7 linked regions of the Mus musculus genome follow. The protein of the gene in region 1 interacts with the protein of each later gene in a biochemical or structural test. Links are inferred from orthologs where the notes say so. Each region holds a gene or a part of one and is shown in the gene's direction. Other genes may lie near its edges. The genes, in order: Parp1, Macroh2a1, Ep300, Hmga1b, Casp3, Erg and Pias4.

The links.
Region 2: the proteins of Parp1 (region 1) and Macroh2a1 form a complex in vitro, tested with the Homo sapiens proteins (2 studies listed by BioGRID). The link is inferred for Mus musculus from reciprocal best matches to the Homo sapiens genes PARP1 and MACROH2A1.
Region 3: the proteins of Parp1 (region 1) and Ep300 form a complex in vitro, tested with the Homo sapiens proteins (2 studies listed by BioGRID, with this or other methods). The link is inferred for Mus musculus from reciprocal best matches to the Homo sapiens genes PARP1 and EP300.
Region 4: the proteins of Parp1 (region 1) and Hmga1b form a complex in vitro, tested with the Homo sapiens proteins (2 studies listed by BioGRID, with this or other methods). The link is inferred for Mus musculus from reciprocal best matches to the Homo sapiens genes PARP1 and HMGA1.
Region 5: of the proteins of Parp1 (region 1) and Casp3, one has a biochemical effect on the other in vitro, tested with the Homo sapiens proteins (9 studies listed by BioGRID and IntAct). The link is inferred for Mus musculus from reciprocal best matches to the Homo sapiens genes PARP1 and CASP3.
Region 6: the proteins of Parp1 (region 1) and Erg form a complex in vitro, tested with the Homo sapiens proteins (2 studies listed by BioGRID and IntAct). The link is inferred for Mus musculus from reciprocal best matches to the Homo sapiens genes PARP1 and ERG.
Region 7: of the proteins of Parp1 (region 1) and Pias4, one has a biochemical effect on the other in vitro, tested with the Homo sapiens proteins (3 studies listed by BioGRID and IntAct, with this or other methods). The link is inferred for Mus musculus from reciprocal best matches to the Homo sapiens genes PARP1 and PIAS4.

Annotation. Positions count from the first base shown.
Region 1 is NC_000067.6:180,582,263-180,585,982, forward strand, and holds part of Parp1 (poly [ADP-ribose] polymerase 1), read left to right. Parts: intron 1-495; coding exon 496-612; intron 613-1,467; coding exon 1,468-1,644; intron 1,645-3,580; coding exon 3,581-3,720. UniProt on the Homo sapiens protein: Poly-ADP-ribosyltransferase that mediates poly-ADP-ribosylation of proteins and plays a key role in DNA repair.
Region 2 is NC_000079.6:56,132,731-56,137,012, reverse strand, and holds the start of Macroh2a1 (core histone macro-H2A.1), read left to right. Parts: upstream 1-1,462; 5' UTR 1,463-1,667; intron 1,668-4,282. UniProt on the Homo sapiens protein: Variant histone H2A which replaces conventional H2A in a subset of nucleosomes where it represses transcription. Nucleosomes wrap and compact DNA into chromatin, limiting DNA accessibility to the cellular machineries which require DNA as a template.
Region 3 is NC_000081.6:81,624,196-81,627,915, forward strand, and holds part of Ep300 (histone acetyltransferase p300), read left to right. Parts: intron 1-329; coding exon 330-439; intron 440-2,142; coding exon 2,143-2,280; intron 2,281-2,907; coding exon 2,908-3,339; intron 3,340-3,720. UniProt on the Homo sapiens protein: Functions as a histone acetyltransferase and regulates transcription via chromatin remodeling. Acetylates all four core histones in nucleosomes. Histone acetylation gives an epigenetic tag for transcriptional activation.
Region 4 is NC_000077.6:120,761,294-120,764,937, forward strand, and holds Hmga1b (high mobility group protein HMG-I/HMG-Y), read left to right. Parts: upstream 1-1,500; 5' UTR 1,501-1,595; coding exon 1,596-1,697; coding exon of another isoform or gene 1,698-1,730; coding exon 1,731-1,919; 3' UTR 1,920-3,099; downstream 3,100-3,644. UniProt on the Homo sapiens protein: HMG-I/Y bind preferentially to the minor groove of A+T rich regions in double-stranded DNA. It is suggested that these proteins could function in nucleosome phasing and in the 3'-end processing of mRNA transcripts.
Region 5 is NC_000074.6:46,615,793-46,620,273, forward strand, and holds the start of Casp3 (caspase-3), read left to right. Parts: upstream 1-1,498; 5' UTR 1,499-1,709; intron 1,710-1,831; exon of another isoform or gene 1,832-1,986; intron 1,987-4,481. UniProt on the Homo sapiens protein: Thiol protease that acts as a major effector caspase involved in the execution phase of apoptosis. Following cleavage and activation by initiator caspases (CASP8, CASP9 and/or CASP10), mediates execution of apoptosis by catalyzing cleavage of many proteins.
Region 6 is NC_000082.6:95,376,764-95,380,483, reverse strand, and holds part of Erg (transcriptional regulator ERG), read left to right. Parts: intron 1-212; coding exon 213-416; intron 417-1,291; coding exon 1,292-1,372; intron 1,373-3,111; coding exon 3,112-3,183; intron 3,184-3,720. UniProt on the Homo sapiens protein: Transcriptional regulator. May participate in transcriptional regulation through the recruitment of SETDB1 histone methyltransferase and subsequent modification of local chromatin structure.
Region 7 is NC_000076.6:81,164,739-81,169,070, reverse strand, and holds the start of Pias4 (E3 SUMO-protein ligase PIAS4), read left to right. Parts: upstream 1-1,350; 5' UTR 1,351-1,359; coding exon 1,360-1,386; intron 1,387-4,332.

The DNA of each region.
Region 1 (3,720 bases):
AAAGTGTATAACCCAGACCTTTTATTATCCCAAAAGGAGGAGGCCCACACTCCCTGCCTCAATGGCAATGAAGTCGCTCCTCTTTGTGTAATGTCGCAGTGCCCAGGGATGGCCCCAAGATCAAGGCAGCCCCTCACTGACCCCTAGTGACCTGATCTACAAGGCCTACACTAGGGGCTGGGTATCATAATACACATCTTTAATCCCAACATTTGGGAGGCAGAGTTAGAGGCCAGTCAGCCTGATGTACATAGTGAGTTACATAATAAAGGACCCTCCTCCCAAAGAAAACCCAGAACACCAGCAACAATAAAATCAAGCCCTTGCATTGTGGAAGGAGACAATCAACTCCCACGTTCTTGGATCTCTAAACATGCCCTATGGAACATAGTAGTGTACACGCGTTAATAAGTGAATGTAACTTTTTAAATGTAAGCTAAGAAAGCTGTTAAGATTTTGACAAGAACTGATCTCAGTTGGGGGTCTCATCCTTAGGCTCAGAATGAGCTGATCTGGAATATCAAAGACGAGCTGAAGAAAGCGTGTTCCACCAACGACCTGAAGGAGCTGCTCATCTTCAACCAGCAGCAGGTGCCGTCAGGAGAGTCAGCGGTGAGTGCCCCTGCTGTGGGGACACACAGGAGGGAAACCCAGGCTCCATGACGGTGGAGCTTATCCTGAGCTGCAGGATATTTGATCACCTCCAAGATTATGTCATTTGCTTGGAAAAACCTGTTTCTAGTTGTGGTGTGGCTCATCCCTAACACCTTTAATCCAGGAGCTTTCTGTATACTGTAAGTAGGATTAAGTAAAGTCAGCCTTAGGTCAGAGGTAGGCAAGCAGCCAGATGACAGGAAGTGAACATAGGAAAACAACAGTAAGAGGGAGTCGAGAGGACAGATAGAAGGCTGTACGGAAGTAGAGGGCAGGACACTGAGTGTGAGGGGTTTTTGAGATGGCGAGGTGTCCTCAGCTGAGGAGGGTGGTCTCCTAGGTGCTTTCTCCGCCTCTCTGAGCAGCAGAGAAAATCCAATGTTTAATGAGATTTTGTTCAAAACAATCATGGTCACCATCTCCTTCAGCCAGTAGGCCACCCCAGCCATACCATACATTGCCATGTTTGTCCTGGTTTAGAACCCGGTGAAGTACCAAGGTAGGCAGGTGCCCTTGCCGTGGATTTAGTTCATACTCTTCTGAGAGCTGCTCTCTGCTGCTACATGTCCAGGCCTGCTAAACCCACCGTGCCTACTTGGGCCACTTGTGTGGTGCAGTGCTTGCGGTAGGACCCTTCACTTGGAGATAAGGATTCAAAACATACAAAACCCAGGCTGTGTTGTCACCTGGCACCTGGGCTAAGGTAGCGCCCAGAGACAGCCTCTTTGCAGGGATAGAGCCTGTGTGAGAGTTTCTCCATCTGCATTGGTAACTGTCCTTTCCTGAGCCCTGGTCTCTGGCATGTTTCTTCAGATCTTGGACAGAGTTGCTGACGGCATGGCGTTTGGGGCCCTTCTGCCCTGCAAGGAGTGTTCAGGCCAGCTGGTCTTTAAGAGCGACGCTTATTACTGTACTGGGGATGTCACTGCCTGGACCAAGTGCATGGTCAAGACACAGAATCCTAGCCGAAAGGAATGGGTAACTCCAAAGGTAAGGTGGGGAGCTTCCTGGACTCTGTCAGCAGGAAACCATGGCTCCCTCCACCTTCTGGACATGGCCATGCTGCATGTCACACAAGGTGACAGTCCGCGCGTTTCTCACCCTTTCTCATATCAGTACTGAGGAGAGAGTTCTCTGTTCACTGCTGTAATTCCACCCTCCCTTCCAGTCTTTCTCCGCCTATAGCCATTCTGTAGCCTGCCTGTTGTTCTCTCACCTTTAGAATCTCAGCCTGTCTGCTTTCCTCCCTCACATAGCATTGTGTGCCTGTTACTGCCTTTGGTGAGGACAGTTGTAAGATGACACTGAGCAGAATTAGCCATCGATGCAGCCTGCCTGCTTATGTCTTTTGGGGTGGTGCTGCAAGATCCATTACAGCCTGGTGATGCTTGCTGTCCCCTCCTGGCTCTTAGCTGTACTCAGTTCAGACAGGACTGCTTTCTTGAGGGCAGAAATCCTCTATCTAACCTGCTTATGCCACCTGGCATTGGTGAGGGTAAGTCTGAGGTGTCTGGCACCTTGCTTACCATTCACTGAGTGTGGGCACAGCTGGGAAAGTTACCCTTCTGTGTAGAGACTCGAGCACAGGGGTTGCTCTTCACCAGACGTCATCAAGTGGCCAACCTCCGTAGGGCAAGGCCTACTGTAAGTCTCAGAATAATTATGATAATAATTAATGATTATGATAATAATGACTAATTCCCAGTGAATGCAAGAGGGCTCACAGCAGGCTCTTCCCTAACGAGTGAGTGACTTATTAGCCTTGTCTCCTTTGGGAAACGTGAAGATCTGTCACTGGGTGTGTTTTGTTGCTTGGTTTTGGATCCTGCATACCCTCCGCAGCATAAATTCCCTGCATCAGAGTGGTGCACCCTGGGAGTTGATGAGCCTGCACTGACACAACATCACCCAAAGCCCATAAGTTACATTAAGGCTCGCTCTTGGCGTTGTGCAGTCTGTAGGGTCTGATAAACATAGAATGGAACGTACCCATCAGGAAAGCATCATTTACAACATCTGTTCCCTAAGACTTCCCATGTTCTCTTTGTCTTTCCACTTCCAGCCTCTGGAAACCACTGATCTTTTTTCATCAGCTCCATGTTTTCCTATTTCTAGCACTTCTATAATGTCCTGTGCAGCCTGTTGGGCTGGCTTCCTTTACTTGGGGGAACGTGTAGTAAGGGTCCCCTGTACCTGGGTAGTTCCTTGGATTTTGATGTTTAATAATAGTTCATTCTATCTCTTTGTAGTCCTAGCTGTCTTAGAGTTCACTATGTAGACCAAGCTGGCCTCAAACCTATAAAAATCTGCCTACCTCTTCCTCCTAGGTGGTAAGATTAAAGGTGTGCACTTGTCTGTCACCTACCCTAACCCTGGCCTAAGTGTGCTACTCTTGGGGGCTTTTTAAACCATGTGGTAGCCCCTGATAGCACATGATAGACACTTGAGAGAAGTGACTTGGGGACAGGATGGTCCCAGTATGCCTCCTAGGTCTAGTGATGCTTCCCCCACTAAGTTGTCAGCTAAGGTTTTTATTTTGTTTTAAAATATTACCCTTAGTTGAGGAGGGGCACATGTAGAGGCTGAGGACAGCTTGTGGGAGATTCTTCCACCATGTGGGCTCTGGGCCAAACTCCATCCCTTGGTTGGCAGCACAAACTGATCACCTCGCTGGCATTTTATTCCTAAAGGGTGAGGTTTCTCACCTAGGTCACCCGTAGCACCTGGATTATGTAAATGTAGGGATGAGCCCTGTGAAAACAACAGTATATACGCTTTCTTCCTGGGAACTTTAAGCCTTTCCTATTTAATTATAGGGATTTTTAAAAGATTATTTAATTTCACAGGACAAATCCCACTTAATCTATTGTAAGTTTATTTTAAGAGACCTCTAATGTCTTTAAAACTAAAACTTAACATTGTTTAGGAATTCCGAGAAATATCCTACCTCAAGAAGTTAAAGGTCAAAAAACAGGACCGAATATTCCCTCCAGAAAGCAGCGCCCCAGCACCACTGGCACTGCCCCTCTCTGTCACCTCAGCACCCACAGCTGTGAACTCCTCTGC
Region 2 (4,282 bases), on another chromosome or scaffold:
CCAGCCATTTCCCCTCCATTTTCTGGACTTCATTTTCATACTCCAGCCCATAATAGTTTTGGAGTTTCATGTTTGGAGTACTCCTCCTCAGTACCCGTTCCATGGCTTGCTTGCTCCCTCTACTCCCTCAGGCCTTTCCAGAAATGTTTCTTTCTTACTGAAACTCGCTCTTTTTAAAAGGTTAGATGGACTTACTTTATTCTGTGTGTTTGAGTGTTTTGCCTACTTGTGTGTATGTGCACCCCGTGGTGCCTGATATTCATGGATGTCAGAAGAGTGCACTGGAGCCCCCCCCCCCCCCCCAGTGGAGTTATCAGGACCACACAAATGAATCCTGGGAACAGAATCCTGGCCCTCTGCAAGAGCACGAAGTGCTGTTATACACGGAGCCATCCATCTCTTCAGCCTCAAGACTACCAAATACACCCCTGCTTACCTTTCCTAGGATTTTTTTTTCCTACCTTGTTTCCTCTGAGAATTTATACTCTGTAATGTGTGATTCCTTTGTCTCTTGCCTTTCTTTTCCCACCAGACTGTAAGCTCCAGGAAAGCGGGATGGGGGTAGGGTGGAGTGGGGTGGGGTGGGAGTTGCCAGTTCTGTTCACCATTTCACAACTACACTCAAGTTTATGCATGGTGTGCAGAATGTCCCAGATATTTACTTGAAATAATGAATGCATGGGCCAGGGGCTTTAGACAATGCTTTTTGTGTCTATAAAATGCGCTAGGGTTGGAGAGATGGCCCAGCTGTTAAAGGGTCACAAACCAAAAACCTGCTAATATTCTAGTGTAGCCTGGGCCTGAAGGAGAGTCTTTAGTTTTGTGGATAGATGTTGCTGCCCTTTCTCTGGCTGACACCCACCCCACCACCTTAATATGTAATAAAAGTATCAACTGTTTAAATCAGTAAGTCTCCACTTGGAGCCAGTAGTCAACAAACGTTTGCTTGGTGGAGGTAGCTAACCGATTCCACGAGCAAAGCAAGACCAGACTTTGAGGCCAGCTCTGTAGAATCCCACTGATCAAGGGAGTTGAGCTACGGTAGCTGATCTTGGGGCACACAGCTGCCTTGTATTTAAAAAGTCAGGAGGCTGGATTGAGGCGCGGAGTTGGTGCTGACCGGGCAGAAGAAGATCCCTGGTCACAGCAATTGTTCTACCCTCCCTCTTTGTGGACGAGGCTACTGGGGACAAGGGGACACCAGACACACAGTAGGTGCTCACAGCAGACGCTTGCAGAGCCGCGCTACCTACAGGCACCTTTCTGAGGCCGGACCCCTGCAGCTCCCGCGCGCAGACCGATGCCTGGGGGCGGGGGGGGGGGGCGGCGCAGAGCACCAAGGCCTGGGTACAACCGAGGCTGGCGTCGTTGGCGTCCGCGGCCCGAGGCAGGCCGGGGTCAAGGCCGGGGCGCCGAGTGGCGCGGGGAGGGGTGGCCGGACGCGCGAGGCCGGGAAGGGATGTGACGAGCGGCGCGCTGTGCATTGTGGGAATCCCGGGGCCGCCGCGAGTGGTTCCAGTTCACTGGTTCCAGCGGAGCCGGGCGGAGGGCGCGAGCGCGGGACGCGCGGGCGGGAAGCGAGGAGGCGTGGGCGGCCAGGCAGGAGTGCGGAGCGGACCGGCGCAAGCGGCCGACCGGCCTCGGGCCCCTCACCGTGCAGCCGCCCGGTAAGTGCCGCGCGGGCCTCGGAGCCGCAGGCTGCCGGTCCGCCCCGTCTGGGCCCCGCGCGCCCGACTGCTGCCGCGCGCGGGGCACTGCCTGGCGCCCGGGAAGCTCCGGCGGTTACCCTCGGACCTCGGGCCGCCCGGAGTCCGCCAAGGCCCTGCCCGGGGCAGCGTGCGGGTCCGGATGGTTTTGTTCGGAAAGCAAACCCGGAAACCAACTTCGCTCGGAGACGCACCCCTACCCCCGCCGGGGCGCTTTGTGGGCAAGGGGCTGATCGGGTCTCCCCCTCTGCCCGGGAGGGAGAGCCAGGGATGGCGTGGGCCCGAGGGCACCGAGGCCCGGAGGCCGTGACCAGCCGTTCCGCCCGGGCCCGGAGCTGCTGTGCTCAGAGTTTACTTGCTCGTGCGCCGCCGGCCCGCGCGTGCCCTCCCGGGCACAATAAAGTGGGGCGCGAGCCACAGGCCGTTGTGAGGCCGGCTGGTGGGGCACCCGCCGCGAGGCCTGAGCAGGCGAGGCCTGGGGACCACTCGCGGACGGAATCCCAGGCCGGGGCGGGCTGGAGAGGAGCTATGGAAGCCCCGCGGCTCTCGCTCGCCTTTTGTTTGCTTTGTGCTGGGGAGGTGTTATTTTTAAGGTGACTCTGGAAGACTGGAGGCTCCCCGCGCGCAGAGGGACAGCTGAGAGTCTCTGGGGGTGGGGTGAGTAGAGATGGGAGGCGCGGGATGCTGCTGACGGTGTCACCTGACAACAGGTGTGCAAGATGCTGAGCCCAGCGCCCACTCCTGCAGAGACCACCGATATCTCACTGCTGGGCAGAAGATTGCTTGAAAGAGTCTTTGAAGAAATGCAGGGGAAAGTGTTTTCTAGGTTTGACGGTGTAACTTTTGAACAAGCAGTTGAGGCAGATCTCGTCTCCAACAATTACAATCATTATGAAGTCTTTGTAAGATTTTAACGATCTAATAAAACAGCTTAGAAGAATAGACAATTAGAGGGGTTCTCCTCTTCGGTTTCCCTCTTGCTGACACCTCTGTGGTTTGAGGTTTTACTGTTAAAAGAGAGGAAGTGTTTTGTTTGTAGACACTGCAGCATGGAGTCCCAGTTTTGAAAGTCTGTGCTGGAGTGGAAGACAAAAGTCCAAACCCAACTAAATTTCCTGTAGGTTCACCTTAAGGTGTGCAGTCAAAGTTGCGGTTAGTTCTGAAATGGACACCCTCATACTCGCTACTGGAGTTACTACAGCTTGTCCACAATTGACCAATTGAGCAACAGCAACTGGGCTTACACACAACCTCTGACTCGATCAACCTTTTCAACTTGTGGGGATTTTTTCCCCTTAAGGATGAGGAGTCTCCCGAGATTTTAAACTTTCCCTCTTTCTCATTTTGCTACGAGCTAGGTCATAGTTTTCACCAGGAAGGGAGAGCTCACACTGTATCACACTGAGATTGGTCTGGAAATTCACATATGATAACTTCCTTACTGGCTTACTTTCTACTACGTGGGCCAGCTTTAGGGAGTGGTACAGTTCAGTCTGCCATTTTCTCAGGTCCTAGAAAGCCATTTCTGCCTCCCCTAGGGACAAGCTTGGAGCTGATGGTGCCCCAAGTCGATGAAAGATTTATTTAAAGAGAGAAACTACTAATCTGTATGTGATGTTCAGAGGTTTGCAGTAGCCTTTGGCTTTTGATGGGCTTTTCAGAGCCCATTAATGAAATATGAAATGGGAAGGGGTGGGGCTGAGGTGGACCCTTACCTGTTAAACCCACCACCTTCGTTCTGTAGGCTTAGGGGCGGGGGCTCCTGCTACAGCTCCTGTAAGTGCAGCTAAGTGGGCCAACTCTTCATTCCAAAGAGTCCTATAACTTGCTTGCTGAGAGCAGCCCTGCCTGGTTGGTGTCTTACTAGTATGTCCCCAAAGGTGATTATGTCGGGGTTAGGAAATAATCATGAGCAAGAAATGCCAGGCCCTGCCCTGGAGAGCCGGCTGGACATCAGTAGAGGAGGGACAGTTGTGTAAGTGGGGTTGAGCTCCATCTGCCTTGGAAAGATCAAGGGGGGGAGTTTGCTGGCCAAAGCAGGACAGATGGGGGCACGTGACCGAGGCCGGAGAAACCACGTGTGCCAGTTGTAGAAGATAACCTGTGAGGGAAAGCTAGAGGCTCAGGGTAGCAGGGTCAGGCGAGGACAGGGGATACTCCACGGAATCCCATCAGAACCACAGCTGATCCTAAGAGCAGCCAGGAACCCCCAAAGGGATTTGAGCAAGAGAGGAGACAGAGAGCAGTGGTCAGGCCTACTCTCACTCTTAGTTGGGATCCCTGTGTAGCAAATACCTGGAAGCTTCCAAATACTTGGCCTGGCTCGGCTCTTGCTCTCTTAAGGTCACATATTCTTCTAATGGCTTTTTTAAAAAAAACTTTTTTTTGGAGCTGTCATAGCACAGTCTTTACCGGGGGTGTGGAGGGGGAGGAGATAGTGGCAAAGCTGCCTTTACAGTGCAGGACCCGTCCCTCCACAGAGCTCAGGAAGTACAGTGCAGTCGGGCCCCAGCTACAAGCTGTTTCCTGCTTGCGAGTGGTACTTGGGTTTGGGGTTTGCTTTTCCTCCACCACTA
Region 3 (3,720 bases), on another chromosome or scaffold:
TTCCAGAGGAACGCCAACAGCTCACAAAGAAAAAAACTATAATAAGCCAAAAAATGCCAAGTGGTGGTGCACTCAGGAGGCAGAGACAAGCAGATCTCTGAGTTCAAGGATAGCCAGGGTTACATAGTAAGATCCTGTCCAGAAAAACAAACACATGCATACATATATATGTACATGCATACATACATACAACAAATAATATCCTTGTTTAGCTGGTGATTCAGAATATCAATATTACTTTGTTGGTCCTAAGAAAATGAGCAGAATCTCATATCAACTTATGTCTTGTTCTTAAATTCAACAAAAGTATTGAAATATTATATTCACAGGTTTGAATCAATTTGGGCAGATGAATATGCCACAGCCCCCTATTGGACCCCGGCAACCCTCTCCTCTTCAGCACCATGGACAATTGGCTCAGTCTGGGTCACTCAATCCGGTTAGTTTTATCCTTTCTACCCTTTAAAAAAAATTCTTTTTTCTTTGTTACAACTTCAGGAAACATTACTGTCTAAGCAGAACACGTTTTAGTTCTTGCATGTATGTTCTTCCATGTGTGTTCAGTGATCAAAGTGAAGATTCTCAGTCTTAGTTACAAGTACCTTTTATTTCTGACACATGTTGACCACATGAGACCTCTTTTAATAGTGTAATTTTCATATATTTGGCCTTTAATATTACATAGTATAGCTTAGAATGTATCTCAGTAAAAGAGCACGTAGAAGACTTGGTTGTCTCGTTAGCACCATAAAATAACCTCCAATCCCAGTTAAGTAGACTGTATTTTATAGATGAGAGTACGTTTAGTTGTTAGTCATCCAGGATTTCACTATGTAGCTCTTAACTGTCCTAGAACTCTTCATGGAAACCAGTCTGACTGCAAAGTCAGAAATCAGGTTACTGCTCACTTCCAGAGTGCTAGGATTAAAGATGTGTGTTATCATGCCTGGCTAAATACAAAATCTGAAAGAACTGGAGGGTCAGGAATTAATATACAACACAATTGATTTGTGCTGGCGAGATGGTGTGAAAGTATAAGCAACTGAATCTTAGATCCCCATCAGCCCATAAAATCCAGGCTATGGTGGCATACACTTTGAACTCCAGTGCTACAGTTGGAGATTTCTGAGAGCTCACGGGCTGTCCATCCCAGCCTAAAATGTGAACTCCGGGTTCTATGGGAGGCCCTGTCTGAGAAAATGAAGTGGAGGACCTGGGTAAATAGCTCAGGTAGTCGGAGAGTTGTTGCTTTTCTATAGCATTCTGGCTCAGTTGGTCAGTGACGTTATATGGTGGTTCACCAACATCCATGACTACAGAGCTAGGGTGTATGTTAACATAGTCTGACTTCCATGACTACCTGGAATGTGTGTGATATACATATGTACATGTAAGTAAATCATACACATAAAATGAATCATAAAGTAGCAATAATATGTTTTTAAAAACAAAATGAGGTAGAGGGAAAGTAGAAGGTATATTCCTATTGCTATGGTAAAATACCATGACAAAAAGCATCTTAAGGAAGAGTTTTATTTTGGCATATGATTCCGGGGACTAGACATGTATAGTGGCATGTTAGGTATGGCAGCAGGAGCACAAATCTTGAGATGTAAAAGGGGATTGTAAGTCTATAAACTCAACACTCACTTACTGACATAGTGTCCAAAAAGGCTATATTTGCTGAAGATTTCATAATAGTGCCCCTAGCTGGAGACCAGATTTTCAACTGACCACGACTGTGCAGAGAGGTTTCTCATTCACATTACTGTAATTTCTTATTTCTCCATACTTCCTTTTATTAAATGTCTAGACTCATGTAAGGCAGTTTTAGAAGAGAAAAGTTGTTTGTTTCTTGTCAGAGTTCTAGATATCTTGGAGCCCTGTGTCCCTTCACCTTCTTCTTTCTTGAGGTTGTGTTTGGTACTTACAAGCCTATTCCTATTAGTTTTTACATGACTACAAGTTCTTTCACTTACACCTTAGGCTTCTCTTACCCAAGCTATTGTCTTTTATTTTTCTCTATGCAAGAATCTGGATAGTAGGGCAAGAGTGATTGCTAATTACAGTTGGAAAATAATTATAATGAAGCAGTTGGTGACCTATGGTTTGTTGTGTTTCTTTCTTTTTGTTTATTTGCAGCCTATGGGCTATGGACCTCGCATGCAGCAGGCTTCCGGCCAGAACCAGTTCCTCTCCCAGACTCAGTTCACATCCCAAGGAATGAATGTAACAAACATGCCTTTGGCTCCATCCAGCGGTCAAGCACCAGTGTCTCAAGTATGTTTATTTAAAATTATGCTTAATGTGCACATATAGCACACATACAGGACAATAGTATGTACCCGACTCTCCTTCTTCCTCTCTGTGGTGTCTGAGAGTGTATGCAGATTTCCAGGCTTGGCAGGCAGAGACATTCTTTCCTGCTGATAACAATTTTCATGAGAAATAGTCTATATTTTCTTTTGTTCAAAGACAGGTCTCACCATTTAACCTTGGCCTTTAACTCAGAGAACAAACCTTTACTTCTTAGAAATATTTATTTGGAGTTTTGAGACTAGATCTCATGTGGTTCAAGCTGGTGCCTGTGACTCCAATTCCAGTGGGTTTGATTTCCTCTTGTGGCTGCTTTCTAGTCAGGCATGCACAAATCCTAATCCTGTAGGATTTTCAATGTTCCCCCTTCTTTGAAAACTGATTATGTTCAGGCATACATACTTTTAATCCTTGCTCTGGAGACAGGGGCAGGTGAATGGATCTCTCTTAGTTAAAGCTAGCCAGGTCTATATAGCAAGACCTTGTCTCAGAATGAAAAATGTTAGATACTGTTTTTTATTTATACTTACCATGTGTACTAAGTACTATATGTTCTGCCTTTGTGATATCATATATTTTTCGTTTTCACAGGCACAAATGTCCAGTTCTTCTTGCCCAGTGAACTCTCCTATAATGCCTCCAGGGTCTCAAGGGAGCCACATTCACTGTCCTACTCTGCCTCAACAAGCTCATCAGAATTCACCTTCTCCTGTTCCTAGCCGCACCCCTACTCCTCATCATACCCCCCCAAGCATAGGGAATCAACCACCACCAGCAACAGCAATTCCAACACCTGTTCCTACACCTCCTGCCATACCACCTGGACCACAGCCCCCATCTCTGCATCCCTCATCTAGACAAACACCTACACCACCAACACATCTGCCTCCCCAAGTGCAGCCTTCACTTCCTGCTGCTCCTTCTGCTGACCAGTCCCAGCAACAGCCTCGGTCACAGCAGAGCACAGCAGTTTCTGTTCCTACCCCAACAGCACCATTGCTGCCTCCTCAGCCTTCCACTCCGGTAAGTAGCTGTGTATTGGAGTGTCTGTAGAACAAGTTAAGCTCCAGCAATGTTTTTGTTTTTCTTTATCATGGTTTTGTTTAGTTTTGCTTCCCATTTTGCTTTATTCTATGTTCTAGGGTAAAAAAGTATGTCATCACAATATACTTTACATACATAAAAACATTTTGAAACAGATTAAGTTGCAGTACTGAGAAATTAAACTAAAACATTATGGGACTAATTACACGTAAACACACAAGTCAGAGGACAACCTGTAGCAGTCGGTTCTCCTCTCTACCAGGGATCAAATTCTCTAAGGAAGTCCTCTTTGGAACTAACACCAAAAACTTGGTAGCTGTTCAAGTAAAACAAACCAGCCAGCATTGGGAGTCCAGTACC
Region 4 (3,644 bases), on another chromosome or scaffold:
TTGCAGCGTCATTCTTGCTGGTCGAGTCCGGCGCACGCAAGATAGGTAGAAGCCAGAAGTAGTGAATAAGAGTAGTTTTAGCCCTTGCCGTGAGTAGTAGTAGAGTAGTGAGTAGTTTAGCCCTTCCCCTAAGAAGAAGCTGCTGGGGAAGAGAGCTGTAAAAGAAAGAGCCTGAAGTAAAGATGTTGCTGCATGAACCCGACTTGGTGCCTGTGTCGTTCTTGTCACCACCGGCTCGGAGTGGAGATGACGACAGTAGGTAGGTAACTCAGCTGACTTTTGCGTCTTCTGGGCTCTGATCTGCAGTCTTTCTTCTTTGCTGCTTGGTTTGTCTGAGAGAGACTCTCAGCTTTTGTTGCTTACCCTGACAGCAAGGGATCTTGTGAAATTGGTCAGTTTCAGGAACTTCCTGAAACTATATGAGTTGTTTGCATCCCTACTTAAGGAACTTCCATGCAGGATGGGGTGTTTTAATTTCAAAGGAAACTGTTATACAACAGTCCTCACATAATGTTGTAGTTAGGGCTCAGCACATGACTCTGGATAGAGAAGTCTTCAGACAACATAGGTGACAGGAGATAGAGCAGGAGCTGTGGAGGGTGAAGACATCTTAGGAGAAATGCGCTCCTAAGGGCGAAGCTAGCAGATGACTGTCTTCCCAAGACGTTGGAGCTTGATGCTCCCTTCCTGGTAAACCACTTCCTCCTGCCTGGTGGCCAACTGGCATCCCTGAAAGGCCACCATTTCCCAGGAGTTCCGATGGCCACCAGACAGCAGGTTGGTCACAATCCACAGCTTTTGTCATAGAAGGGGAAGGGCTTTGATCTTACTGGATAGATCAGGCCAGACACCAGTATTCAGTGCCACCTGGAGGTTGGCTATAGGACTTGGTGGTTTGCTCAGACTGGGATCAAGGACACAGTGAGCAGGCATGATCTGTCCCTGTTAGCTATGAGGAAACTGCCAGGCAGCAGCAAATGATTGGGCTCCGGGCCCCCACTGTGTATGCTGTCCCCTGAGCCACAGGAAGGTCCCAGAGCACCCTTCTGACCAGTGCGGAGGAATGCTCAGGGGAAGGGTACTGCTGTCCCTGCACTATAGAGCACTGGAAGTACAGCTGCCTCCTTTCAGCGACTCACACGGTCTCAGTGCAGAGCCTGGACTGAGCAAGGGAAAGGCGGCAGTCTGAGCACACCTCCTCCCCAGGGCTGTCCATGAGGCATCTGAGCCTCCTGCCCGGCCCAGATGTCGTGTGACCTGCTATGACTCACTGGATCGTGAGTACTTGTTCCATGAACCCTGACACACAAGACAAGAGACCCTCAGCACACCTCAAACAATCGCCAGACACGGGTTGAGGTGCACAATATTCTCTGATTACTCCTAACTGGCTCCAAAGAACCAGGTCTCTGCTCAGAGAAGAGGAGATGCACAGAGGTACTCAGGGTTTGCAACTGGGGCAGGAAACCCCAGAATCCATGCTTAGATTTACAAGAGTCGCCTCTAATTGGGACTCCGAGTCGGGGCTATTTCTGGTGTTGGCGCGGCTCCAAGAAGGCACTCACTGTGTGCTGCCCCACACATAGAGAAGGAGAATGAGCGAGTCGGGCTCAAAGTCCAGCCAGCCCCTGGCCTCCAAGCAGGAAAAGGATGGGACTGAGAAGCGAGGCCGGGGCAGGCCACGCAAGCAGCCTCCGGTGAGTCCTGGGACGGCGCTGGTCGGGAGTCAGAAAGAGCCCAGTGAAGTGCCAACTCCGAAGAGACCTCGGGGCCGACCAAAGGGAAGCAAGAATAAGGGCGCCGCCAAGACCCGGAAAGTCACCACAGCTCCAGGGAGGAAACCAAGGGGCAGACCCAAGAAACTGGAGAAGGAGGAAGAGGAGGGCATCTCCCAGGAGTCCTCTGAGGAGGAGCAGTGATCACCACTCGCAGTGCCGCCTGCTCCATAGCCACTGAGGAGCAGCTGTCCCCTGGGACTGGAAGCCCTGCTCCCAGGCCCCTCCCCGCCCCCACTGCACACTACCGCACCAGGCACCAGCTGCAGGCTCTGCTCCGCAGCACCCAAGGGAGCAGGATTCGGCTCAGTCCCTGTGCCCTCCTCCCGAACACACCTGCCCCATCCTGACAAGGCTAACTTCCCATTTAGCCGCAGCCCGGCCTGCTGCGCACCTCCCTCAGAGCCGTGGCTCTCTGGGCGCTTTGTTTTGCGGGTCCCTTCTGCCCTGCTGTTCCTGGCTTCCCCGTAGAGGGTCCTGGGAGCATTCCCTGGCCTTAAGGGGCCCCGGCCCCATCTCACTCTGACAAGGCCCAGTGGCTGACCTAGCAGCAGCAGTGTGGTCAGGGCAGGGGATGCTTAGATCCCAGCATGTCCCCACCAAAGTATCACCGGGTGGGTTTCTCAGCCCCTCCTGCCCCACCCTACAGAGATCATGCACTGGGTTGGCTGAGCCCCTTGACAACAGGAAGTAGGATGATGTTGGCTCCACCCACTTTAATGTTCTCACCTGAGACTAGACAGATGGGGTTACCGCCCATCTCCAGAGTAAGGGCCTGTTCTCGCCTCCACCAAAGGCAAACGGGCACCAACACGCCTCCCCCAGTCCACTCTAGGCTGTTCCTTCCTCCCGCAGGGCACTAAGGAGCTAGCCTTGCCGCCCCCTCCTTTTCGCTCCTCCCTGCCCCCCATGGTTCTGGTTCCATCTTCTCCTCTGTTCACAAACTACCTCTGGACGGTTGTGTTGTTTTTTTTTTGTTCCATGTTCATTCTTAGATACCCACTATTGCTGCTGCTACCAGCGTCAGATGTTCATCCTCCTGAATTTGCCTGTATTCTCTCCCCCACACAATACACTCGAGGGGAAGGGGGGCTGGGGCGCAGCAGACTGGTTACCTACCCCACACTAAGGAAGATGGGGCCCCACCCCGTGGATGCTGCAGCAGAGTGAGGATGGGGGCCCACTTTGATGGGAAAAGGGTGTAGGGCCACCTCCCCTTGTTCTGTGGGGGAGGGGTGGCCAGTATTTGTCCCAGCCTGGGGCTTCCTCCCTGGTTTCTTATTTGCAGTTACTTGAATAAAAAACAAATAGCCTTTTCTGGACAGTCAAAAAAAAAAAAAAAAAAAAAAAAGATTTACAAGAGTCCTGCCTCAAAGTAAAGACGGTGCCTCAGTGTCTCTGCCAAAGGCGGAGTTCCTGGCTGGTACGGGGCAGCAGGTGAGGGGCACCTGGGAGGAACAGATTGAGGGGAACAGCCAGGGGACTCTCTAGACACACTGCAGGCATGGTGGGTTCTTGGGTCCCTGGGCATTGGAATCCAGTGTGCCTGCTCCAGCTAGATCACATCACTACCTTCATTTATAACAACAAAACAAAAAGTCCCAAGCTGATGCTTCTGTCCAGATAATTCCAAACCCAGCAATCTCACTGCCCTGGGCCGAGGGTGTGGCTCACATCACCGAGCATCACTGATGGGGCACCGTTGGCTTAGTATGCTCTCAGGCCCTGGGTTCAAGACTCCACATCTCATTGCTGAAAATTCAGATTCCTTCTTTAGGTTGCCCCTTCCTTCCCGCTACACTGCTGTGTCAGACCCTCTCACAGGCACATGTGTGTGCACACATGCTTCCACTGCTTTGTCAGACGTTC
Region 5 (4,481 bases), on another chromosome or scaffold:
GCTATAGTAATTTAGCTTATGAAGGCTAAGTCTTCTTGCAGATGTAGGCCCTAAAACGTTTACCTATTATACTTCTAGTTCAGTTTTCTCGCCAAATGGAAGAGAGTGACCACGCCCCGCTTTTAGATCACTTCAGAAAGCCATCTTACTCCAGCTCCTGGAAAGCAGTCACATTGCTTTTCATGAATTCTTTCTCTCTTGAGGCCCAGAACGGCTTCAGGTCCCTCTGGGTCCCCATTTACAGGGCGGCTTCAGGTCCCTCTGAGTCCCCACAGTGAGGAGAAATTACAGGGCTTAGATGAAAACTATCACCTCCAGATGTTTTGCTCTAACGAACTTCTCTAGATGAAGTCAACATTAACGGCAGGAAACTGCTGAGGATACCTTATCTAAGGTATCACTTTGTTAAGAACGTTTAGCACAGGGAGGGGTCCGGGCACAAGGGGTTTCTCAATTAGACCCTTCCTTGTGAACTACAGCCTCCACGATGCACTGCGAGGGTTGAATGCATCCTACTGCTAAAGTCCAACAGAAAATGGCTGATTCTAACTTACTTTGGGAGGGATAATGATAGATCAATTTGTTTCTGGAATCTACATTTAACCACTATGGCTCTTCATGAGAGCAAACCACTTATCTTTTTCTTTCTTTTTTTTTCCCCCCCAAGACAGGGTTTCTCTGTGTAGCCCTGGCTGTCCTGGAACTCACTCTGTAGACCAGGCTGGCCTCGAACTCAGAAATCTACCTGCCTCTGCCTCCCAAGTGCTGGGATTAAAGGCGTGCACCACCACTGCCCGTCCACTTATCCTTTTAAAGCCTTTGATGGAACTGGAAAAAATAAAAAATGTATTATGGAAATGCAAGAGCTTGAATTCCACACGCAACGAACGGTAGACATCTGTGTGGCTACGTGTACGTCAGTCCCTTACATCCAACGAAGCAAAGGCGGTGAAGGCAAGAGGCTGCTCTCTGGAGTACATTTGTCCTTAAGAATATTCTGGGCCCCTGAAATTCGATGCTGATCGCTGTGCTCGTGTTTTCGTATATTATGCAAAAACAAAACAAAACAAAACCCACTTCCCAGAGTCAGAGTCTGAATGAAATAGGACGTAAACCAGTCAGAGATTTCAGTAAGGTAGTCAGGACCTCTCACTGAGGGAGCAAGAGGTGGACGGAAGTGAAGAAAGGCCTCGGTGCAATTGAGAGGAAGTAGAATTACCGAGTGCGGGGCACAGCTCTATTTTCTCCTGCCAGAGTTCTGACTGGCAGAGGCGCCTCCCTAGACGCCCATCTTGGCGCCCCCGGAATCAGGCGTGGCCGAAAGACCTCTCTAAAATTTACCTCAAGTGGCGCAAGTCGGCCGGAGGCGGCAGCTGGCGGAGCCAGAGATGGCGGGAACCAGAGCTTGAAACCCGCGCGAGGGGGCGGAGCCGGAGGGGGCGGGGCCCTAGGCTTGCCCTGGGTGGGCGGGGCCTGCGCTACGAGACGGGGCTCAGTCGGGGCTGAAACCACCAATCGCGACTGGCGTGTGCGAGATGAGGTGTTGGGGGGTGTGTGAGGGGGGATGGGGCGGGGAGGTAGAGAAGGGGCGTGGCGTGGGGCGTGACCGGCGGTAGTCTGCTGTTGCTGCTGCTGCTGCTGCAGTTGCAGTGTTGGTGCTGGTGGGATCAAAGCGCAGTGTCCTGCGGCGGGGAGCTTGGAACGGTACGGTGAGTGTCTGCTGCTCTCGCGCCTTCGAAGGCCTGTGTTGTCCCCCGGAGCTGGCGCTCTTTTGGCGGGTCTGCAGCTCCTTGGAGGAGGCGGGGGAAACGGGCAATCTGGGCGGAGGATCCTTTGTGTTGCCTCCAGGCTTGCTCAGGCAAACACTGAAGGCAGAGAAGCTGGAAACAGCGCCGGGAGCGCGATCCCGAGCTGAGAACCCAGACCCGGGAGGCCAAACCGGTGTCCCTAAACCTGGGTGAGCCGGTGCGGTGTCCCTAAACCTGGGTGAGCCGGAGCGGGTTCAGACCCCTCGAGCATGGCACACGGGCCGCGCTGAGGCTTAAAGGCGGAGTCAGGGGGGTATCTGGAGATCGCCCGGGGTACAGAGCTTCAGGGGCGGGAGGGGGTGAGGCCATAGTGTGGGGGTGAACCTGGAAGCCGAGTGGCGGGAGGTGGCGGGATCCTGGATCTGCAGGCCGAGGTGTGGACTCGGTAGCAGAGGATGGATAGGGGAAGTTCTGCCCTGGGGCCTGGAAGCTAGGCTGATGCTGACCTTGTGGCGGCTCTAAGTGACCCAGCCTCCCTCTGTTACAAGAGCATTTGATCTCCACCTTTAGTTTTCTCCAGTGCACTGTGATTTTTGGTTCTTGCGGAGAGCTGATTTTAAGCATTACTCCTTGAATACTCCAGCTCATTCCTTTGTTGGTCAAAGTCACTGTAGGAGCTTGCATTGACATCTCTTGAGCCATGCTCGGTTACTGTCCCTTCTTCGCGCTTATTAATTAGTCTGTGAAGTTCGACTTGAACAGCAGGGTCTTTACCTCATTCTCCGTTGAGTCACCCAGGAAACGTCCTTCTCAGGCACCTCTTGTGGACCCAACTTCTTCCGCCGTTAGTCCCCGAGCCTTGTAGACCTACGAGTCTGACAGATTTGTACCTGGCCCCTCTTCGGAGTCTTGTGGACTTTCTACGTGTCTGCCAGACTTGTGCCCACCTCAGGGAACTGAAGCAGCCTCCTTGCAGGTCTCTGTCTCCCGCCCAAGACCCCTCTCCAGTGCTCTCTTTAAGACACGAACAAAAACAGTTTTCTAGATGTTCATGTTTACCCTGAAGGCTTAAGTGTAAAACCGTATCCTCTAAACCGGGTTAGCGAAGCCAAACCCTGGGTCTTGGCTGTCTCCCCCCGCCCCCCCCCCTTTTTAGCAGAATGAAGAAGCTCTCCAGGCAATATTGGATACTGTGTCCTTTTCGGGTTTTCTTTCCAGCCCTCTGAGTCCACTGGCTCACCTTTTCTCCCCCTGAGACATTAGCTTATGAACAGGAGCTGCTACGGAGGTTTCCCTTAGTTAGCAATTCCTAGCTGAATCTTCCCATTCCTCCCTTTGCGGCAGGCATTTCCTGAAAGCAGCCGTGTCATATCCTCTACTTTTGCTTGTTTATTGTTTGCCTACCGAACTGTGAGCAAACAACAGTAGGCTCGAACTTTAGCTTGGCTCCCTTCCTTACTGGCTTTTTTTTTTCCACAAGTGACTACTCAACCCATTGGGGTGGGTGGGAAATGTGGGGCCATCGTTACAGTAAGAGTATACACAATAGCAGAGGAGATGCTAAGCTGGGGGTTTGGCCAGCCTTTGGGAAGTTACTTTGGATATGTTAATGGTGGCCACAGGCAGGAGCCCTAAGTATGGAGTGTAGAACCCTGTGACAACCTGGTGTTGAAGCTTTAAAGAATGGCTTTGTTTTGCTGTCCAGTAGACTAAGGCTTTTGGAAAGTGAGAAGGTGTTTTTTTAGTGAGTGGAAGTTTATTGAAATGTAGCCATCGAACTGCTACAAAGTAACAAGTGAAATCCTGCACCTAATTAAATCAGGTTGCTTTTGTGGTCCTGCAGAAAGGTTCTGCCTCCTGCTGTTTTAAGTAGGAATTCTGTATCTTTATCTGATAGAAGCGGGTCCAGGGCCACTCTATGGTTTCAAACCTAGCAACACATTCACTTCATGCGCTTTCTAAAGTTACAACACAGTCTTTTCTTCAAACACATTGCATTAGTTCTGATCTTCGTGTTAGATAATATTAAAGTTCTACCCCAGTGATAGAGGTAGAATACGATGTGGAAATTCTTACATTCTTGAGTACTGTTTTATATATAGTCATTTAACAGATTAAAAAAAGTTTGGAGAGGAAAGGGTATTCCATCATCATCATCTGACTGTCTGAGGCCAGGAGCCCGGGGCCTACCAGCTTCTTCATAAATAAAGCATAATCTATATTGCTCAGAGGGTTGTGTAAAGATCAGATGAAATAGTATGTGTGACATTCTACATAATAGTCCTTGTTCTGGTCTCTTTGTTTTGGCCTTCAATATTACCTGGGGAGGGTCTTCATTCTGCTAAAGTACAATGAAATTATCTAGTAAGAACAGAACATGGACTGCTTAATGTCTACCTTGCTGCTGTTTTTAAATGCCAGTGAACATACATAACAGCTCTGGATAGGGGTAGAGTCTGCCTCTTCCACTACTTCATACGCTCAGGGTTTAATGAAACATCTTCATACAGTTGATAATCAGTAGATTACATAGTTATCTGTAATTTTTATAAAAGACATCAAGGATCTTCCACTCTATACTTTTATTTCAACAACAACAAATTGTTTTCAAACAGGTCAGTAATTCTTACACATCCCTAAGAGCGTATAGTTTTATCCTCTTCAGGGTTTCGCTTGGGAGAGGACAAGACAGACCCTTTGCAGATAGTAAGCATCACATTTTTTTCTAGCTTG
Region 6 (3,720 bases), on another chromosome or scaffold:
GGATGATGGAGATCTGTATGGGCCCGGCTCTTTTAGGTCACCCCCCAGGATTCTGTTTGTCTTGCTGTGACTCGCTGAGCTTGGCCTCAGGCTTTTGCAGTCTGGAGAGGGTGGGGGTGGGAGGTTAGGGGGGGGTCCTACGCTGGGGCTGACTGGGCTGCCCTCAGATTTGCCTTTAGGAGTTGATGGCGTCTGCCTTCCTCCCCTTTTAGATCCTACTCTGTGGAGCACAGACCATGTCCGACAGTGGCTGGAGTGGGCGGTGAAAGAATATGGCCTCCTCGATGTGGACGTCTTACTATTTCAGAATATCGATGGGAAGGAGCTGTGCAAGATGACAAAGGATGACTTCCAGCGGCTCACGCCGAGCTACAATGCCGACATTCTTCTCTCACATCTCCACTACCTCAGAGAGAGTAAGTATAGCTGTCACCATGGCTGCAGACCCAACCTCAGTGGGTTCAGACAGGGTGGTCCCGGGATCCTCTTGTCTGACCTGAGAGGACCACACAGGTCAGTGTGTGGAACTTCATGAGGTAGATGAACAACGCAGTCTCTCCTGGGTTCCTAAGACCAGGACGATGGAACGTGGGTTCCTAAGACCAGGACGATGGAACATGGCAGAGAAGTGGCCACCTTCACTACTTTCCATGGTGCCCAAATTGGAAGGCAGAAAGGACTCCTTCTTGCTGGGGATGTGCTTAGTTAATTCTGCTGAGCGGCACGAAGCCCCTCCTCCCATCCAACCTGACCACAGAAGGGGAGGTTTTTTTTTCCATTTTCTATGGAGAGAATGGGTGGTGCGTTAGTCAGCAGTGGCGTGAGCCTGAAGGACTGCTGCGTGATCTAACTCTGACAACTCTGAGCATGGTCTGAAAGGATCCCAACTTTAACAGGGTGGCGCATCTCCCTTGCTGTTGTTGCCTGGCACCCATACACTTCTCTCCTGTGTGGGGCCATCCCATTTGGTGTTTAAGGTATTTCCTATATCACAGGGTTTAGATGGTTCTAGCAGCCTCCCCTCCCCCCGTGCTATGGCAGGAGGTGTATATATTTTCTTCTTTTTTCCTTTTAATTCCATTTTTTTTTTCAAGACAGGGTTTCTCTGTGTAGCCCTGGCAGTCCTGGAACTCACTCAGTAGACCAGGCTGGCCTCGAACTCAGAAATCAGCCTGCCTCTGCCTCCTAAGATTAAAGGCATGCGCGCCACCACTGCTCGGCCCATTTCTCTTTCTAGGAAGCTTGTTCTCCATCTCTTTATCTCAGTGCTGCTCTGTGTCTTGTTTTGCAGCTCCCCTTCCACATCTGACTTCCGATGACGTTGATAAGGCTTTACAAAACTCTCCACGGTTAATGCATGCCAGAAACACAGGTAATGCCAGCCCCTCTGATCCCCAGGGCATGCTTAGGTTCCTACCTACAGGTGCATGATTTAAAGTGAAACTCACAGGTTAGGGGTTAGAACACAGATGTGGGAGCGAAGCCATTGGGTACCTGAACAGTTCCCATTATTTCCACCATAACCCCGTAGGCCGAGAAAGGATTGTTTTTTTAACTATCATTCTGATCCCCCAGCATGCCCCAGTGCACCAGCATCATTGCCTATGGAGACCAAAAGCTCTCTAGTATAAATGGCCTCCAGACCTATTGCTCTCCATTTTCCTTCCTAAAGCAATGCCTTCTGGGACTCCTTGGTATTTTACAGACAGCTCTGGGTGTTGGACTTGCCTTGGTTTTATATTCTGCACAGATTTGTATGTTTGCAAAGGGCAGTGGGAGGAATATATCACACTTTATATAAACCTGAGGGAAACTCTTCTGCCATTTCGGAGAATACACAGCTGGCCCCTGGCCCAGCACCTGCCTTCCTGTCTCTAACTACAGGTTCTATCTACACTTGTGTCTATCGTATGCTCGAGCCTTCCAGGGCTGGACAAGGCACTTGGTCCTGATTCACCTTCCCTCCATCTCTCAGTGTATTTGGGGTTCTCTTTGTATAAACGTGTTACCTATGTTCCAAGTACACATCTACCTCCTGTCCTGATGGCCTCACTGGTGGATGCAAGGCCATTTGCTGATCACCCACTGGATTAGCCAAGGACCACTTCTTGCCACACCCTACCAGCCCCCAGCTAGGGATGAAAGCATCAGGGGAGGTGGGGAACCTCTTATCCCTTGCAAGCAAGCGAGCCCAACCACTGCTTGCCCTAACTGAGTAAGATAGCCGCTTACCAGTCATTCTCCTTTTACTTTTAAATGTCCAGCATCTTATGAATTGAGCCTCAGTCTGCTCACTTGTAATAGGTAGCTGGTTTACCTTGGTCTTCAGTATTCAAAACCAGTGTGCTTTTCTTAAACGTGACGTGAGGTGTTCTAAGCTCCCCCTTCTCTATCTGTATCGAACATATGAATATGCTAATGGTCTTGTGGCCAAAATTAGCAAAGAACTTGGTAGAATCAACCTGTCTCAGGAAACACCCTAGAGCCTCACAGGCTCTTAACATTGCATGCATTTAGAAATTCTTTAACAGTGACTAAAAATTCCGCAAAAGTTCAGAGTTCATTGATTTTTAAAAAAATTATAGCCAAATATAGAGACAATCAAAGGACAAGGATGATAAATTTCTAAAGGGCTGAATGTCAAAGCGGAAACCTCCTCATCTGGGGAGGTGACCATTGGTTGAGGAAAATACGGAGAATCGTGTATTTGAGTGGGGGGGTGGATTGATTTTTTAATACAGTCCATGTAGTCTTAGGCAACGTGTGTACACCTCTTTCCAAAATCTGTTCAAATAGTTTGTGAATCATATACAATTGGCAATAAATATAATAATATCTGTGCCACAGATAATTTTAAATAAACTAAGATTGCCAGTGGGACACGGGTGGGGCTCTGTCAAGAAGCCCACAAAGAAATAATAAATAAACGCAGCATAATATTTCGTGCATGAGGGAGATGCACTCCTGTCTGAGCAGAGCTCCTGTTTGCCATGAGCTCCACTGAAGTTTCAAGGCCCCCCCACCCCCTGACATCACAGGGCGAGGTGCTGTTGCTCAAGCTGAAAGTCACCACAAAGGACCTTCACACTTTGTCTTTCCTTTTGTCTGCAGGGGGTGCAGCTTTTATTTTCCCAAATACTTCAGTATATCCCGAAGCTACGCAAAGAATTACAACTAGGCCAGGTATGCTAACACCCTATGTGATTGCTTCATTGAGAGACTCCCAGATGCCCTGCTTAGGCCCAGGACCCCAGCCCGTGACCCCAGGAGCATGCTCTGGACCTGACAGGCAGTGCATATAGCCAGTCTTTTCCCTGGCCCTGTCAAAGGGCAGTTGAGATTCAGAGATGCTGTATTCAGAGTCCACAGCTTGGCTCCTCTACTGTGGACTATGAATACAGCAGAAATCAGAAACAGATCAGGGCCTTAAGTAGTAGTTTCAAGTGTTTGAGCCAATGCCTAGGATAGGAACCCCTTGCACTCTCAGTTAAGGGGAGGATTGATGAGCAGTCTGTCCTTTTGGGTGAGAAAGCAATTCCCAAATCGCTGATGACTGATTCTCATCACTACGCGAGAAGCCATTTTTCAGAGGAGAAGCATCTGGCATATAATATTTACATCGGCGTCATACTTTATGTCTTTTCCGATGATTGAATTAGGTAATTAATCTACATATCATTCATGCAAAAGTAAACATTTACCTAATGCCAAGCACAGAAT
Region 7 (4,332 bases), on another chromosome or scaffold:
TCATCCCCAACCCTTCTCTTCATCAAAATGCAACCGTAAACATGAGCCATAAAATGCACCAGAGCAGGAAGCACATACACCTTTAAGACCACCCTCCCCACGTGGGCGCGGTCCAGTCCTCCCAATGAAACGGAAGCAAGGGGCGGTGCCGTTCTCGCTTAAAAACCCAGAGCGGGGCTAGAAGTGAGCGTGGCCCCAGTGCAAGCTTCGAAAATTTGGGGGTTGGGTGGGGCTTGTGGGTAGTTAGAAAGCCAAGGAGGGCCCCTGAAATGGTGATCGCCCAGAAGTCTATTAGGAGTTCGATCCACAGAACTCATTTTGTGACACCTGGTTAAAGGAGAAAGCAATTCCAGCAAATTGTCCTCTGATGTCCACCTAGGGGGCTTGGAACGCGCGCACCCACACCTATTCGCGTTAGTCTCTAAACCTGATGACCTGAGTTCGATTCCCTGAATCCATATTGTGGAAATATACAAACCCCTTAGATTGTCTTTGGACGATCAAAAATTGCGTGTCTCCCCCAGTATATAAATAAAACAGACCACAGAAAAGTGGGCGTAGCCTTGAGCCAACAAATAAAGAAGGAAAAATGCAGCTAGAGGGGCTTCTGTGCCCTAAAGAAGCAAGGCTACGCAGGGCTTGGTTATGTTCATCTTTAATCTCAGTTCTCCGGAAGCAGGGGCAGGAGGATTTCAGTGAGTTTGAGGCCAGTCTGGTCTACAAAGCGAGTTCCACAGAGCCAGGGCTACATGGTGAACCTGTCTCAAAAAACAAAAACAATTTTTAAAAACCCACAACTGTTGCCACCGCAAGCCAATTTGAAAACGAGGCAGGGGGTTCGGCCTGTACTCTACAGAAAAGGTGGGGCCAGTAAGAGAGGGAGCAGGGCAAAGGGTATATGGTTCAGGCACTAGCTGGTTCATCCCTGCTACCTACACAGTGGAAGGAGAAAACCTAATTTCCTAGACTGTTTTGTGACTTTCACATATGTACACACTAAATAAACACAAAAATTTAGCGGTTCTCTAAAGCAAGAGAAATGAGGCGGCGGGAAGTGCTGCTATTTCTTTAAGCAGCAGACTCCTCCCCAGAGTGGGCGTGGTAGCGGCCAGCGCCTTGAAAAATAACCGTGGGGGGCGGGATTTGGCAATTGTCCGTTGTGATTGGTCAGATCCTCGGGCGGGGTTCCTGTAGGCGCGTGCGCGTGATGCATCCTCCCGCCTCTCAGACGCGGGGGCGTGGAGGAAGGAGCCAGCACTCGCTTTTACTGGCTCTCGCGCAGGCTCCGCCCTTTAGTCGAGGGCCCTCACGTGACGCGACGGCTGGGGCCTCCCGGCGCGGGGGACGCTAGTGGCCAAGATGGCGGCAGAGCTGGTGGAGGCCAAAGTGAGTGAGCGAGAGTGGCTCCGGCCGGGACAGGCGGGTGGCGGAGTACGGACCGCTCCTCGCAGGGAGCTGGGAGGGCGGGGTGTGGCGGCGCGGGCGGCGAGGGTGCGACTGGGACGCGGGCTGAACCTGCGGGCGGGGGGCGGGGAGACCGGGGGCGGGGTCGCCAGCTCCCTCCTGGGGTGTCCCCGCCGTCTACTGTCACTTCTCTACTGACCCTAGCAGGGGTTCCCACAGTGTGGCTACACAGCTTTCCCGGTGCAGGCACTGTCCTCTCCTTTGGGTTAGCTCTGTTGGGACATAACTGGGGGTCCTTCTGTGGTCTGGGAAGCCGAAGGAATGCAAAGTGACTTCGCCATCAGGTTTCCAAGGCAACGAGTAGGACTCAGGTCCGGGTGCCCCCCCTCTTTCCTCCCCCACAGGCCTGCATGGGGAAGGTCTACAGGGATTGCCACAAGTCCTCTGATTCTCGGGGCTCAGACTGACACCTTCTGACTCCAGACTCAGGCCAACTATAAGTGCCCAAGTTCATTTTAGAGACTCAGCCCTCGAGTCCCGCTCCCCACTTGTCAGCTCTGGGGTACCTCTTCACTTCAGCCTCCAGTGATCCTGTCTCACTCTAACCCATCTCTAACCTGTGAATCGCCTTGTAGAGTTTCTCTGCTGCCTGGCATACTGGACCCACCACCTCCTTGTTATGTGTTCCTCAGATTGATCCTCACAGGACACCTTGACTGAGTCCAGGGGAACATTGTTTAGACTTGTTCCCCCATTTCTGCATTAAGGTACCAGGGCTCTGACCTGACTTGAGTCCCCATTAAACCCTCTTGAAGTACAGCTTGGCTTAGCCTACATCCAGTTCTGCTCTGTCTCCCTGTCAAGGTTCCAGCACACTTGTCCCTCCAGAGTTATTGGAGTTCCTCAGTCCCCCTCAAGCATCTTCCCACCCATAAGATTCAGACTTGCCCCCCCCCCCCCCGTTTTTCTGCCTGCCTTGTGACATGGTCCTTCCCTCCCCACTGGGACCCTTAGGGTTATTCTAGAGGATCTGATTAAAAGGTGTCGTCCTCACCAGGCATGGTGGCACACCTTTAATCCCAGGGGTCTGGAGACAGAGGGAGGCAAATCTCTGTGAGTTTAAAGCCAACATGGTCTACAAAGTGAGTTCCTGGACAGCCAGGGCTCCACAGAGAAATCCTGTTTCAAAAAATCATTTAAAAAAAAAAGTGCAGCTGGGCGTGGTGGCGTACGCCTTTAATCCCAGTGCTCGGGAGGCAGAGGCAGGCGGATTTCTGAGTTTAAGGCCAGCCTGATCTACAGAGTGAGTTCCAGGACAGCCAGGGCTACACAGAGAAGCCCTGTCCTGAAAAACCAAAAAAAAAAAAAAAAAAAAAGTGTACCCCTCTTTCTCACCATTTACTCACCCCAAATCTACACCATTTACATAGTGGTTTTCTCTTGGGAAACAGAACTTTGAGATGGAGATATGTAAACTATGATCTGGAACGCAGGAGTTTTTTTTGTTTTTTATTTGGTTTTTTTGAGAAAGAGTTTCTCTGTGTAGCCCTGGCTGTCCTGGAACTCACTCTGTAGACCAGGCTGGCCTTGAATTCAGAAAATCGCCTGCCTCTGCCTCCCAAGTGCTAGGATTAAAGGTGTGGGCCACCACGCCCGGCTGGAACACAGTTTTACTCCTTGAAGTCCCCCTTGTACCATCCTAGAACATTGGGGTGAGGCCAAAGACTCTGTACCTTCATCCCCCCTCAGTGAGAAGGGCTGCGATTGCTTCTTTGCGGTCTAGATTCTTTAAATAAAAGCTGATGACCTCTACTTGACTCTCTGCCCCCTAGACCTCCACCTCCACCTTAGTTAGGTGAACTTGACTCTTCTTTGAAACTCTGAAATGGTCCAGAGGACTCCTGTCATGGCCCCTCACAGTGTTTTAAGAATGATAGCAATACCTCCACTTTTCTGGTAGCTTTCCTCCAATCTGTCCCAACAGGCCAGAGATTCTGTCTTTTGAGGCATCCTGGGGTTTCCAGGAAGCGAGATTGTGGTGTTTGTGGATGAATGGACCATGCTCCATCATCCTGTGGGTGAATGGTGCCTGCAGCAGGCTTGGGGCCAAGCCTTCGTCCTTTGCCCCTGTGTTGGGCATCTCAGCTTTCTAAAGAGCCTAGGCTAGTGTCACAGCTAAGTACAGCCACTTCTCTCTCTGTGTTTGGGTTGTCACTCCACATCACACCCCAAGCTGAATCTCCAGAAGTCATGGTGCTGATGCTGTTTATAAACTCGGCCCTGGTAGTCTGTGCCAGGGCGGGAAATACACTCCGGGTGATGGATGGAGGCTTCTTCCTGTGCGTCTGTCCCCATGCCCTGCTGTTCTCCAGCAGGCTGCTCAGGCCATAGCAGCTGCTGAGAAACCTGACCCAGACCATATGGCAGCGACCTGGCTGCTCAGACGCTTGCCATCAGTCCTGGGTGGTGGAACTCCGTGATTACCATTGGAGCTGCAAAGCTCTCTGACTTTAGCTGGACCTTCGAGGGCACCTACCTCACTGTGCCTCTCTCCTGAGTTGTGAGGATTTGAGTATAAATGTGCTGTGTGCTGTTTGTCTCTGCATGCGGTAGGAAGTGAAGGCCACATTGGGAGTGCCCAAGGGCCGCATACCCTAGAGTCCCTGAAGAGTTGGGGCTTCCCTACAATCCTCTAGAGATCTGGGAAGCCTGGTAGCCACCAGGCCAAACTTGAGCCCACCCTGTCATACTGGGAGTACTTAAGTCATGCTGAAGTATCTGGCACCCCAAGTCTCTGGTGTTTTTTGGAGCTTCCTCGTAGGGACTCAGCAGGTGAACATCCAGTGGGATGATGACCCCTGGGCTGGTCAGGTGGGCTTTGACACTTCGGGTATGTGTCCCAGCCCTGTGGAGGTCCCTTTCTACTTT